Linked DNA regions of Drosophila melanogaster. The protein of the gene in region 2 interacts with the protein of the main gene of each other region in a pairwise test. Each region holds a gene or a part of one and is shown on either strand. Other genes may lie near its edges.

Region 1 (7,664 bases), on a different chromosome or scaffold from region 2:
CGACAGCGAGTCCGCATCGTCATCCAACTGGTCAAAGTTGCTCCCATCCAGCGAGAGGTCCGAGCTGCAGAAGCTGTCATTCGAGTTGGCCGGATAGTCTGTTGAAAAGCAAGCCATTAGTACTTGTAGAATAATGCTTGGACGAAATCAAACTTCAAATCGAACCACTTACCATCCGGTGAGAAGGGCAAATTGGGATTCAGCGGCTGGCTGGCGAAAGTGCTGTCCAATCCACCCAAATAACCGGAGCTATCTCCTCCGAGCTCCTGCTTGACGCACTTGTCCTCCTTGTCATTGGTGTCCTTATCGTCGGTGGCGCTGGAATTGCCCGTGCCACGCCCACTGCCCGATCCTCCGCCGGAGCCACCATTCTGCTTGGCCTTGCGCTGAATCTTCTTCATCTTGGCGCGCTGATTTTGGAACCACACCTGCACTACACGAACCGATAGGCCGGTGTCCTTGGCCAGGGCTTCGCGCACTTTGCGACATGGTTTGGGTGACTGATCGAAGGAGGCCTTAAACTGTTTGCGCTGCTGCGATGTGAGGATGGTGCGTGGTCGTTTCGGACCTCTCCTTCCATCCCGTGGCCTCAGCAAATCCTCCTCGTCCAGGCCAACGAACCCACAGTGCTGAGCAGCAGCGGCTGCCAGAAACATCTCCTTCTCCAGATCGTGACGATAGCAGAAGAGCTGGCCATCGCGCAGCATGAACTGCTCGCCCTTCTGGAGCGGCAATCGGCAGGCGTAGCAAACGAAGCAGGGCAGGTGGAAGACAAAGTTCGGTATGGGTCGCATTACCAGCTCCTGCGGCAGGATCGCATGGCAGCAGGAGGAGCACTTCACACCGAACAGCCGGTCGTAGTCCATCTTGCAATAGAGTTTCGAGTTGCGCACGTAGCAGGTGTGGTGCAGCTGCATTCCGCAGTAGCAGCAGGCCAGGCACTGCTCGTGCCAGTTGGCATCGCCCACGTTCATCAGGAATCGGTCATGGATCTTCTGGCCACAGCCCTCGCACAGCTCGAAGTTCTTCTCGCACTTGATGTGGCCCACTTCTGGGGATGAAACAAGCAAAGATGGGGGAAAAAAGTCGCGTTAGTAAGTCGCAGAATACATTTCAAGTAACTAATACACTGAGGTTTAAAATATAATAAATATATCTATCTACATTAATAATCAATTTAATCGAATATTTAACCCATACTTGGAAAATATATATGAAACATTTTCTTGAGAACAGAAATATTTCAAAGAAGAATCCTAATACTTTAGTAATTTTGTTCCAGTGTAACTCCGCTTATTCGCCCTACTGTGATGGGCGTACGTGGCGTATACGTGATGGCGGCACATGTCGCTGCGAAATTATCATGACATGTGCTGCCAATGGAGCAAGGAGCGCGCTGACAATCGAATCGTGTGAAAATGCTTCAACGTCTCTCTTGTTTTTCCGTTCGCTGTTTCGCACTTTCGATGGAAAAACAGAAGGAAAACTCTTCGCTGGAAAAAATTATCTGTCGTCGGACTGCAACAGCTTGTATTGAAAGCTTATTGATGCGTAATTGAAACGTAAAGTTTTCCGTATTTGTTCGGTATTATTGAACAGCCCCCCATCTCGATTATCAATGTATATAAACATGCCAGAAAATGGCTCAATTGATATTGTATATACCACCGAACTTAAGCCAAAGCTTAACTCCTAAACAAAGTCCCTTAAAAAATGCTAATCTCCCATTGAGGAGCTACTGGATTTCAGCTCGCCTTACCCAAAGTAGAACGAACCTAATCCTCCCGTAGACGGAGCTCTTGAAACTGTAAACCAGTCATAAAAAGTAGTACCCGAAAAACACAACAAAAGCTGCATGCAGTAAACATAAAAAATATATGACGACCGCCACGAAAAATGTATGGAAGCATTTGAAAAATGAGCAGCGAGTTGGGAAAGTGCGGAGGGAAAGTGGAGAAAAAGTGCGGAGGGAAACTGGCAATGGAAGTGGAGTGTTATATTATATGGCTGTGGCTCAGTGGCAGAAAAATGTGCATGATTTATGGTTGGCACAATGGCCTCCCCACACACACAAACGCACACAGTCGCCATATCTACGCGAATGTGGCTGTATGGGTGATATATAGTCTGGGAATAGGGACGAAAATCCCTATGTAAGGGGGCGCTAAGCCAGTGCAGCGGAAAGTTGACAATGTCCTCGGGCATTTTCCTATTTTCCTTTTTTTTCTGTTTTTTGGCTTGCATTTCATCCTATTGTGCAGTATCCATATCCAATCGCATTGGCGATAAAGGTTTTTGCATGGGCCGAGCAAAAAATCAAGAATGATTCATTTGATAAACCCCAGAGGGGAGCTGCGTTTTGAGTTTGGCCTCATGTTTTTGTAGAGCTTTGAGCATCGATATTGTGACGGGATTTCGTTTGTGTAATCTAATCGAAATTTATGGCATTTTACTGCAGTTTTATGTATGCTTTTTTTCCGATTTCTCTGTATTGTTTTGGCCAACAAAGGACTCTGCATTGAGTGAGTGTGTGTTTTTGGGCTTGAATGGTAAAGCCTGGGCGAAACTTGTCCAAAAATCAACAAACAACAAGCGCAAACAGTCGGAACAAGTGCGGCACACTCATGTCAAATACATAGATTAAACAGCAGATAAATCCAAAATCAACTCGACGATAAACATAGAACTAATAGAGAAAAGTGTCCTCGTCGTTATCGCCGATAAAGGGGCTTATCTGCCCGAACGCCCCACGATTGTCGCACTATATGGTGCATTTATTGACACATTGACAGCGGGGCGGGGTTATATGGAGATAAATCGGCAGACAGCACCCAACTTCTGGCACTAATTCGGCCACTAACTGGAGTCCAGTCCACGTGCCACGCGGATTTTGGCAGCAGTTCATCGTTGACAGGCAGCTCATAATTCGACAGCTTTCATTTCGACTGACAAACAAACAGGGTCTTTAAAACTCTTCGTTGCTATCTACACCATGGAAATGGTATTAATCATAATATAAAATAATGAATAAAATAGGATGAACTTCAAAAACTACTCTTTTAAAATGTAAGATACAGATTTAATCAAATTACAAATAGGGATTGCAAAATATATTGACTTTTGCATTCTAAACTCAAATGTAGTACTCTTTGTGAGTTCCAGTGGATTTTCCGTATAGTTCTTGAATAGCAGTTTTGTTTCAGTGTAGCTGGATCTCAACGGAAAGTGACACAGAACTATGCGTATGGCGCATACTTCCGCCACACAAATGCACACCTACTGGCGATTGGGTGGGTGGGGTTTGTGGGTAGGACAGGAAGACGAAGCTGGAGCCACCGCAGAAGCCAAATATGTATGCTGATACGCTCGGTGGAATACCTGACACTGAGTGTGCTCATTTCCGTGGTCTGCCCCCGAGTGCACACCACCCCCAATGGCAGCCCATTCGAAATTCCTCGACCTCTGCAAAGTGTGGGCCACCGATAGTAGTTTAGCAGCCGGCATCCAAGTGTTTGCCGAGGAAAATGGAGCTTAGGATGAGAGGCGGGGAGTGGTGTGTGGATTGGGGTAGTGGCACGGAACGAGCGGAAACGGAAACTATTTGCTGCCATTTGGGCAATGGCAAATGGCAAATAGCAAATGGCAGAATGCGAGCATTAATAGAAATTTCATAGGCAAATGCAAAGTTGGCCGGCAAGAGAGCACAGCTATTGTGGGCGATTGAGTGGGCGGATGAGGGGCACTAAAAAACCGAAAACACAATCCACTTAGCCTCGGACGAGGTCTGGTCTGCATATGCATCACACACATTGTTTGCACACTTTGCATTTCGGAGGGAAATTCGCAAAAGTTTTCCCCAGCAACACTTTCGTTGCAACTCAGCTGAAAAGTGTTGCCTATTTTGAGGCTGTCATGCATGCGAGTGTGTGTGTATGTGTGCCTGCATGCCAAAGCATCAGTGTGTGTGTGTGTGTGTGTGTGGGAGGGAGGCAGTGTGTGGCATGCTTTAATAGCCTTTTATTGGTCGAGCCACGCCTCTTTTTGGCCGTGCCGGGCGGATGTCAGACAGGTTCATTGTCAAAATTATTTTGTGGTCAACTTGCGTTCATACTTTTGGAAATACTTTCGCCATGCTTGCCGCACATCCGCCCACTGAACTATCCACAACATGTGTGCGCCATCACAACTACAAATTCATAATTTATTGTCCTCTGTCAATATATATGTACGTGTTAGCCGGAAATTGTGCATTTGCTTTTGCCTGTTTTTACATAAGTGGACAATCTGCCTCTGGCTATTTCACTTGCTAAAAAGTAAATCCAACTCTTTGAAAGCTGAGTTGCAATTAAGTTCCAAGTTAAACATGGATTTATGCTAATATTGATACAATAATAATTAACAAAACCTATGATATATCTAACCAAATTGACTTTACTTGCATTCTGCAAACTAAAAGCAAACTAGTAACAAATAAGAACATTCTTATTTAATGTTTTTTAAATTATTATTTACTTTTGATTTTAGGCTAATTAATATGAAGAATACTTTTCTCTTATATTATTTTAATGTTATGAATATATACGCTAATTTTTACTGCAATCAATAAATGCTGAAATATTCCGCTTAAAGAAAAGTTTCAGGAGTAAACACCTTTTGAAATAAGCACTTCAACTTTATTCGCAAGAAAAAACAACGAATATCTATATATTTTCCCCTAGAGAAGCATTCCTTGGGCCCCAAAAAGCCGAGCACATCGCACGCAAACTGCCGGCATACTCAGGTGTGGGTGGTTGTACACAATCTGGAGCCTCGTCCGACCAGCTTGGAACTCACGCAGCGCAGCACCGAACCTGGACACGGATACGGATGCTGATGCGGATACAGAAACGGACCCGCAGGCCGGGCACACGCAAGTATGCCAAAAACGAAAAGCGTGAAAACCCCAGAAGAGGAACGAGCCGGTAAATTGCTCGACTGCCGGTGCAAAATACTTTTGGAACATACCTGTGCGTCCGCTGCAATCGGCAGACAATTTGGATGCCGCTGCTGCCGATGCCGTTGCTGCACCACCTCCATTCCCATTTCCATTCCCGTTTCCATTGCCATTGCCATTTCCGTTTCCGTTGCCACTGCCATTTGCATTTCCGCTTCCTGTGGCCGCTGGGCCCGTCGATGTGGGTGTCGTCGCAGCGGCAGCCGCCGCAGCAGCAGCAGCAATCGCCGCAGCAACTGCTCCGCCTAATTGCGAGGTGGCTACTGAGGTGCCTGCTGGCGATGGAGCTGCCACAGCAGCGGCAGAGGCAGCGGCAACAGCAGCAGCTGTTAATGTGTTGCAGGCTGAGTGGAGGTTGTTGCTGCTGCTGCCCCCGTTGTTGTTGTTGTTGTTATTGTTGTGGTTGCTGTTGCTGCTGCTGCTGCTGAGGGGGCTGTGTCCTGTGGGCGTGGGGCAGCTGTTAATTGGCACTGGCGTGGTCGAGGCAGCGTGTTGCTGCTGGTGTTGCTGATGTTGCTGGTGGGGGTGTTGCTGCTGCTGCTGATGTTGCTGCTGCTGGTGCTGCTGATGCTGCCCCGTTAATGAAGCCGTTGCCGTGGGACTATTGTTGCCGGAAATGCTTGTTGGCAGATTGTTGTTGCTATTGCTAAGATGCAGGGAGTTGCCGCTGCTGGCAGTCATGCTGCCGGGATTTGGATTGTCCAGGAATCGCGCGCCGCCATGATTCTGCTGCAGCGAGTACAAACTGCCACCGACTGGATTCAGATTCGTGGGCATTGGGTAGAACTCCAGCATCGTATACGAGTTGCCACAAAACACCGCTGTTACTTTTTTAGTTTCGAGTCTACGAAAATGTCACATGCAACACCGCACAAGGAACACGCGACACACAAACAAGACGCTCGATTGCTTTTGCTTTAACTTTAACTACGCTTCTGTTCAGTTTCGTTTAGAATATGATTTCGGTGGCCTATTCTTGCGCTGCCGAATGCGAGGACAACCAGCCGCGTTCGCTGTCAGTTGGCGTGTGATCGAACCATCAGCGAAATCAAAGCATTTCACTTTGCCCTCACAAAAAAAAAAAAAAATCCCAGCTGAAACGTACCCCCGCGCACTGCGCCTGCGCCTGTTTACAAAAGCAACGGAGCGACGGAGCAACGGAGCTGCGGAGCAACAACTGCCGCTTGGCCTGCGGCAACAACAGCAGCTCTTCGTGTTGCACGTGATGCCAGGGGTTGTATCGGTGCAAGGGTTGCAGCAACCCCCTCTCTGCCCCGGCAGTGCGCATGTCTCAAGTGATTATTAGCAGCGAGGGAAATTCTGGCAGAGAGCAAGTCCCTCGCAAATCGCTGGCCACACCTCAGCCTCGCTGCGATTGGCTGGCCATTTCCCCGGCGTCCATTTTGCCGCACGGCGCATGTGCGCAGGGGAAGTGCGGGTTTTCTTTTCTTTTGTTTTTTTTTATATTTGGTTTTCTCATATTCGTAGATGTCTTGGCTTTAATGCAAGACCAAGTCGGCTTGTGGGCGGCCATCGGTGGGCGTGCGGCAGCTGCATGTTGCTGGTTGTTGCTGGTGTTGCTGCCGCTGCTGCTGCTGCTGATGGGGCACAAAGACATACTTGCACTTGCACTCGCGGCAACTTTGGCGAGTTTGCCGCTCGACGGCGACAATTTCCTTGAGTTGTTGCTGCTGCTGCTGTTGGCTCTTTGAGTGGCACGACTGGACCAGAATGCCAGCAACAACAAAGGCAACAAACACAGCAGTGGCAGCAGTAGAGGCAGAAAAAAACAATGGCCTTGTCTTCTTTTACGCTTTTTTGCACTTGCATTTTACTTTTTGCGGGTGAAAAAAGTTGGCGATAAACAAGATGGGAACGGGTGCTTCTCAATACATTGGGCAGGTTATTTAAGGACCTAATGTCTCACAACAAAAGTTTTTTGAAATTCTTAAAGGATTCTTAAAATTTAAATGAACTAGTTTTGAATTCTGGATAATGATTTCCATACATTTTATTCCATTAATGTTATTATGTCTACTGTAAAAGTGAAGATTAAGTCTGTGACTATAGTATTATTAAAGAACTTAGTAAAACTGAAGTATAATCTCTTTATAATTGATTCAAGACATTATTTATTGTAGTTACTCAAAGAGAAAAGATGTTTATTTATTTCTTTTCAAAATCAATCTTTTTTAAGCAGTTTTCAAAGTTGTAAGACTTCATAAAAATAAGTTTCTTTTATGAAATTACATTTATAGAATTCTTATTCCGATAATATCTTTAAATTAAATAAAAGTTGCTTTTAAGCAAGATTTAAGATTTATTAAGTTTTCAATGCTCATACCCCTCTAATTTCCAGCGATTTAAAGCGGAAGTGGCAATGTCACCCTGTATGAGCATCAAAAGCCCACCGACAACTGGGAGGCAGCCCCATTTCCGGCGCCCCCAAAGAGGCCGAAACCCAACTATCCGCCCCCGCAAACACGCACACACTGAAGCACAGATACTATCACCGAGGATGAGAAAGGATGAAGGAAAAGAGAAACCCGAGCGGCAAGAAGAAAAGCGGAAGCTGGAAAGACAAACCAAACATGGTGCTGTGCATAAAAGTTTGGCGCTACTTCTGGAGTCGAAGCTCGAATTCTTGGCCCCCTTTTGGGCCACCACACCA
Region 2 (4,854 bases):
TGGAACACCAAAAAGAGGAGGAAAAGTCCGACAAGCCAGAGTTGTGTAAGAAATTGGCATTGCAACTAACATCCCATTGGATTATACATAATTTCCGAATTCCGCAGCTCCAATTACTCTGCTGCAGCCCATTTTCTCCGCCCTGACTTGCACGTACCGCATCGAGGCCTACTGGTCGTACGAAATCTGCCATGGCCACCATGTGCGTCAGTATCACGAGGAGCGCGAAGGAAAGAACGTCAAGTTCCAGGAGTACTACCTGGGCAAATGGACCGATGAAAAGATGGAAATACTGACAAAAGCCTGGCAAGCAGACATCAAGGCGGGCGTTAAGCCGAAATACAAAAGCCTGAAGATCGACAACACTCGGTATCCATACTTTGAGATGGAATACAGCGATGGCACTATGTGCGACATAATTAACGCTCCTCGCACCACAATGGTGCGTTATGTGTGCTATCCCCATGGTAAGAACGATATCTACTCCTTCAAGGAGACATCCTCGTGCAATTATGAGGCCATTATACTTTCCTCGGCGCTGTGCCCAATTCGCGCCCTTCATGCCGAAGAGACCAAGGAACTATCCATACAATGTTTCAACTCCGAATCGAAACCGCACAGACCGCTGAGCATGCTGCGGTCGGAGCTAAAGGAATGGGTTGAATCCGAGGCGGATCTGCTGGTTTTCAAGGAAAAGGCTACGGAAAATCTGTGGCCCAAGACGGATGGCGATTTGGTCACCCTTAACTATGGCGGTGATATGGAAAAAGTCCTGCTCGAGCATTTCAGGAATGGTGACCTGAAGGTAGACGGAGACTTTCAGCAGCTCCTGCTGTCTATAGCAGCCTCTGAAACTGGACCAACACCCATCACTGATCTGACGCCCCTTAAGGACTTTATATCGGGCAAGAACTGCCTAACTGGGGTAGGAATAACATGCAGCTGACCCATGCATTTGCTTCAATAATACTCTTTTTTTTAGGGCAATGGCTGGTGGAAGTACGAGTTCTGCTATGGCCGACATGTGCGTCAGTTCCACAAAGATAAGACCAGCGAAGTGGAGCTCTTTCTTGGCTACTTCTCAGAGGAAGCGCATCGTGCTTGGTCCAACGCCAACCCGGACAAGGGTGCACGCCGTTCCGGCTTCACGACATCCATCTGGCACCATTATGGCAAGGGAACCCACTGCGAACAGATTGGAGTGCCCCGCGAAGTGGACGTGAAGTTAACCTGCACACCTGTAACGAACAGCGGCACCGCTGTATCCATGTACCTGCTTGAGCCGAAGACGTGCCAGTATATCCTGGTCGTGGAGTCGCCCACAATATGTGATCTCATCCACAACGCCGATTCCCAGGGCCTAGTTAAACTGGAGAATCTGGACAAGATCTTGGTTACGGAAACCGATAAGTCGACTACCAGTTCCGCTTCTGCTCCTGCTCCAGCTCCAACTTCCAGCACAGATGAGGAGAATCACCCATAGGCTGTCCGTGTATTCTAGTGAATTCCTATAAATACATTGATTGTAATATTACAATGCATTTGTATTTCAATTTGTAAAGTGGATGAAACCGATTTTAAAATTTAAGAACTCTGTTTCGGTCTGATAGAATGTAATATAGAGATCTAAAATATTTATTCGTACAGTATTCGTAAAGTATAAATTCAGGCTTTATTACAAATACATCATATTCGAACTCCTTAGTTTTTTTTTAAACTATTCACACAATTTATTCTCTCACTGATCTTCTTCTTCCATAATAAGCATTCGCAGTGCCGTTATTACTCCATACCTATCGATGTCTATCGTTTTTCGATGTCGTGTGCTCAGCAGGCTGATATACAATAGAATCTAAGTTTCCCGAGTTCTAACTGAAAATAGAACAATCGACGTTTAACAATTGCCAAATTCACAGCAGTGTAAAGTTTTAAAAAAGTGTAAGTTCCGTTCGCTGACTGCACTGATTCACATCCCGGCCAGTTGGGGGTGTGAAAAATCAATTGGGTTGGGGGTTAGGTACTGCAGAAACGTGCCCCCCGCCCGGCATTTAGCAAGCTCAAAAGGCGCTGAGCGATAAGCCAGCGGAGTATTACACAATTTGTGGCGGCACCCAAACTGATTCAGCTCTTTTCTTGCAGTTCATCACACATAACACACATCCATAAAAAGACCGGCTCAATGGCGATGACTCTGAACATTGGCTCGATGAAGCTGACAAAGTGGCAGCTGGCGCTCATCCTTGGAACTCCCCTGGCCATTGGACTGGGCACCTATGCGGTGAAGAGCTGGACGGCTGCGTCCAAGGAGTTGGACGGGGAGAAGAAGAGACCAAAGGCCAAGATCGAGAAGCAGGCCATCTCCCTGGACGGCACCGCACCGGACCAGGAGCTAGAGCGCAATCAAAAGTCCGCTGAGCTGGGCGAGAAGCTGTCGCCTCTTAAGGAGGCCAACAACTACAAGACGGAGGGTAACAACTGCTACAGGAATGGGAAGTACGATGAGGCCATTAAATTCTATGACAAGGCCATCGACAAGTGTCCCAAGGAGCACCGCACTGACATGGCCATCTTCTACCAGAACCGCGCCGCCTCTTACGAGATGCTCAAGAAGTGGTCCAACGTCAAGGAGGACTGCACAGCCTCGCTGGAGTTCAATCCTCGTTACGCCAAGGCATATTATCGTCGTGCCCGTGCTCACGAAGCCACCAAGGATATGAACGAGTGCTTGGACGATGTCACAGCCACCTGTATCCTGGAGATGTTCCAAAATAATCAAACTATCATGTTCGCTGACCGTGTGCTCAAGGAGACCGGCCGACTGGACGCCGAGAAGGGTATGCGCAATCGGGTGCCAGTCGTGCCGTCGGCTTGCTTCGTAAACACCTACACGCGTTCCTTCATCGCGGATCCGCTGCAGACCATGAAAGTCCCAGCCCCTAAATCCGATGCACCCCCAAAGGGTTTCCTGCGCGCCCACCTCGCTTTCCTCGAGGAGAAGTACGAGGAAATTATTCCCGCCTGCACCGAAGAGATCGAATCCTCCGAGGCCGAAGCACAGTACAAAGTGGAGGCTCTGCTTATGCGGGGAACTTTCCATCTGCTGTGCGGCTCCTATGTAGAAAGCCAGCAGGACTTTGATGCTATTATAGCTAATGGTAAGAATTTGTTTAAGTTTAATTCATTAATTAGTCGGTTTTCTTCAGTTGTTTTTTGATTTCTATTCTATTAACTTTATTTCACTACAGACTATGCTGATCCCAACTTGCGTGCGTATGCCTACATAAAGCGGGCAGCTCTCTACATCCAGCTGGATCAGCGCGAAAAGGGTATAGCCGATTTTGCTGAGGCGGAACGCCTGAACCCAGAGAACCCAGATGTGTACCACCAGCGCGCCCAGATACTTCTGCTGCTGGAGCAGATAGAGCCCGCCTTGGCCGAGTTCGAAAAGGCGGTGAGCATTGCACCCAACCACGCCATCGCCTTCGTCCAGAAGTGCTATGCCGAGTACCGACTATCCCTCCTGGCCGGCGACCAGCGGCGCTTGGAGAGCGTAATGCACACCTTCCAAAATGCCATCGAGCGTTTCCCGAGCTGCGTTGAGTGCTATAGTCTAACGGCTCAGGTGTTGGCCGACCAGCAACAGTTTACCCAGGCGGAGGAATACTACAAAAAGGCCATGGTATTGGCGCCAACAAATCCTGCACTTATCGTTCACCAGGCCATCATGGTGCTTCAGTGGCGCGGAGACATTAATTTGGCTGTCCAGCTGCTCAACAAGGCGATCGAAGTAGATCCCAAATGCGAGCTGGCCTACGAGACACTCGGAACAGTCGAAGTTCAGCGGGCGCAACTCACACGGGCCGTCGAGCTTTTTGAAAAGGCACTGCTTTATGCCAAGAGTCAGGCGGAGTTGGTGCACGTTTACTCGCTGCGCAACGCGGCAGTGGCCCAAATCAACGTCACCAAAAAGCTGGGTATCGACATGAACTCAGTGTCGGCAATGGCCCAATCCGGATTGATGGCCCAGGGCGTTGCATAGAGTATGAAACCGGTGTGTGTTGGGATTGATATCCCGAGAAAATAAGAGCCAGCGCGGAGCATTTAGCCAGCAGTCCTACTCTAATTAAGTTAATATCGACCATACCTGTTATTTATATATATATATATAAAGCTTGTTTACGTTTATGCTCCTAGCTTTAGCATAGAAATTGTCATGTATTATGGTACATATGTAAACTAGAATCTGTTGCCTAAGGAATCCACTAAGACAAATCCAGTAGCTTATGTTTAAGCGTAAGATTAAACTTAAAACAAGCAAGTCTCCTCATTGTGGCTCCCGTTCCGGTTGGTTAAACGCCTGGACATCGCCGGATATGTAGCTGGCGCCGATTACCCACATGGCGGCCCTCACACTGCTCACCAGCTTGTAGTCGGTCTCCAGTTGTTCCAGATAGGGCATCAGAAGTGCTGGAAGCGCGCCCATGCCGCCCGAAATGCCCATCAAAGTGCCAGCATAGTTGGGACTCATATCCAGCGGTAGCAGCTTAATGCTCGCATAGTAGGCTCCCATGCCAAGAACGCTCCAGATTCGTGCTCCGCTCATCTTGATCTGTAGCATGTACATGGATCCGCATAGGAAGACCAACCAGGACATGAGGCGGCGTGTCTGAGTGCGCGTGAGAATCTGCTGCTCGATTAGCACGTCGCTCAGCCGCCCTGTTGTCAGTGAAGCTATCCAGTTTCCAACGGACGGTGCTATCGTTTCGATGATGGTGGTTAGTTCTGAGAAACTGGTGCCACGGGCTCTTACTTCCTCTAGCGCAATTTGCAGCTCCTGGGGCAATTTCTGTTGGA

What was found.
Region 1: the proteins of Tom70 (region 2) and Lmx1a interact in a two-hybrid assay, tested with the Drosophila melanogaster proteins (one large-scale study listed by BioGRID).

The regions. Positions count from the first base shown.
Region 1 is NT_037436.4:12,327,594-12,335,257, reverse strand, and holds the start of Lmx1a (LIM homeobox transcription factor 1 alpha), read right to left. Parts: upstream 6,027-7,664; 5' UTR 5,789-6,026; coding exon 5,005-5,788; intron 1,052-5,004; coding exon 173-1,051; intron 99-172; coding exon 1-98.
Region 2 is NT_033779.5:12,035,456-12,040,309, reverse strand, and holds Tom70 (translocase of outer membrane 70), read left to right. Parts: upstream 1-1,798; 5' UTR 1,799-2,017; exon of another isoform or gene 2,018-2,139; 5' UTR 2,140-2,179; coding exon 2,180-3,155; intron 3,156-3,245; coding exon 3,246-4,039; 3' UTR 4,040-4,307; downstream 4,308-4,854. Other genes in the region: CG6766 (uncharacterized protein), read left to right, coding at 1-45, 108-925, 983-1,483; CG18788 (uncharacterized protein), read right to left, coding at 4,325-4,854.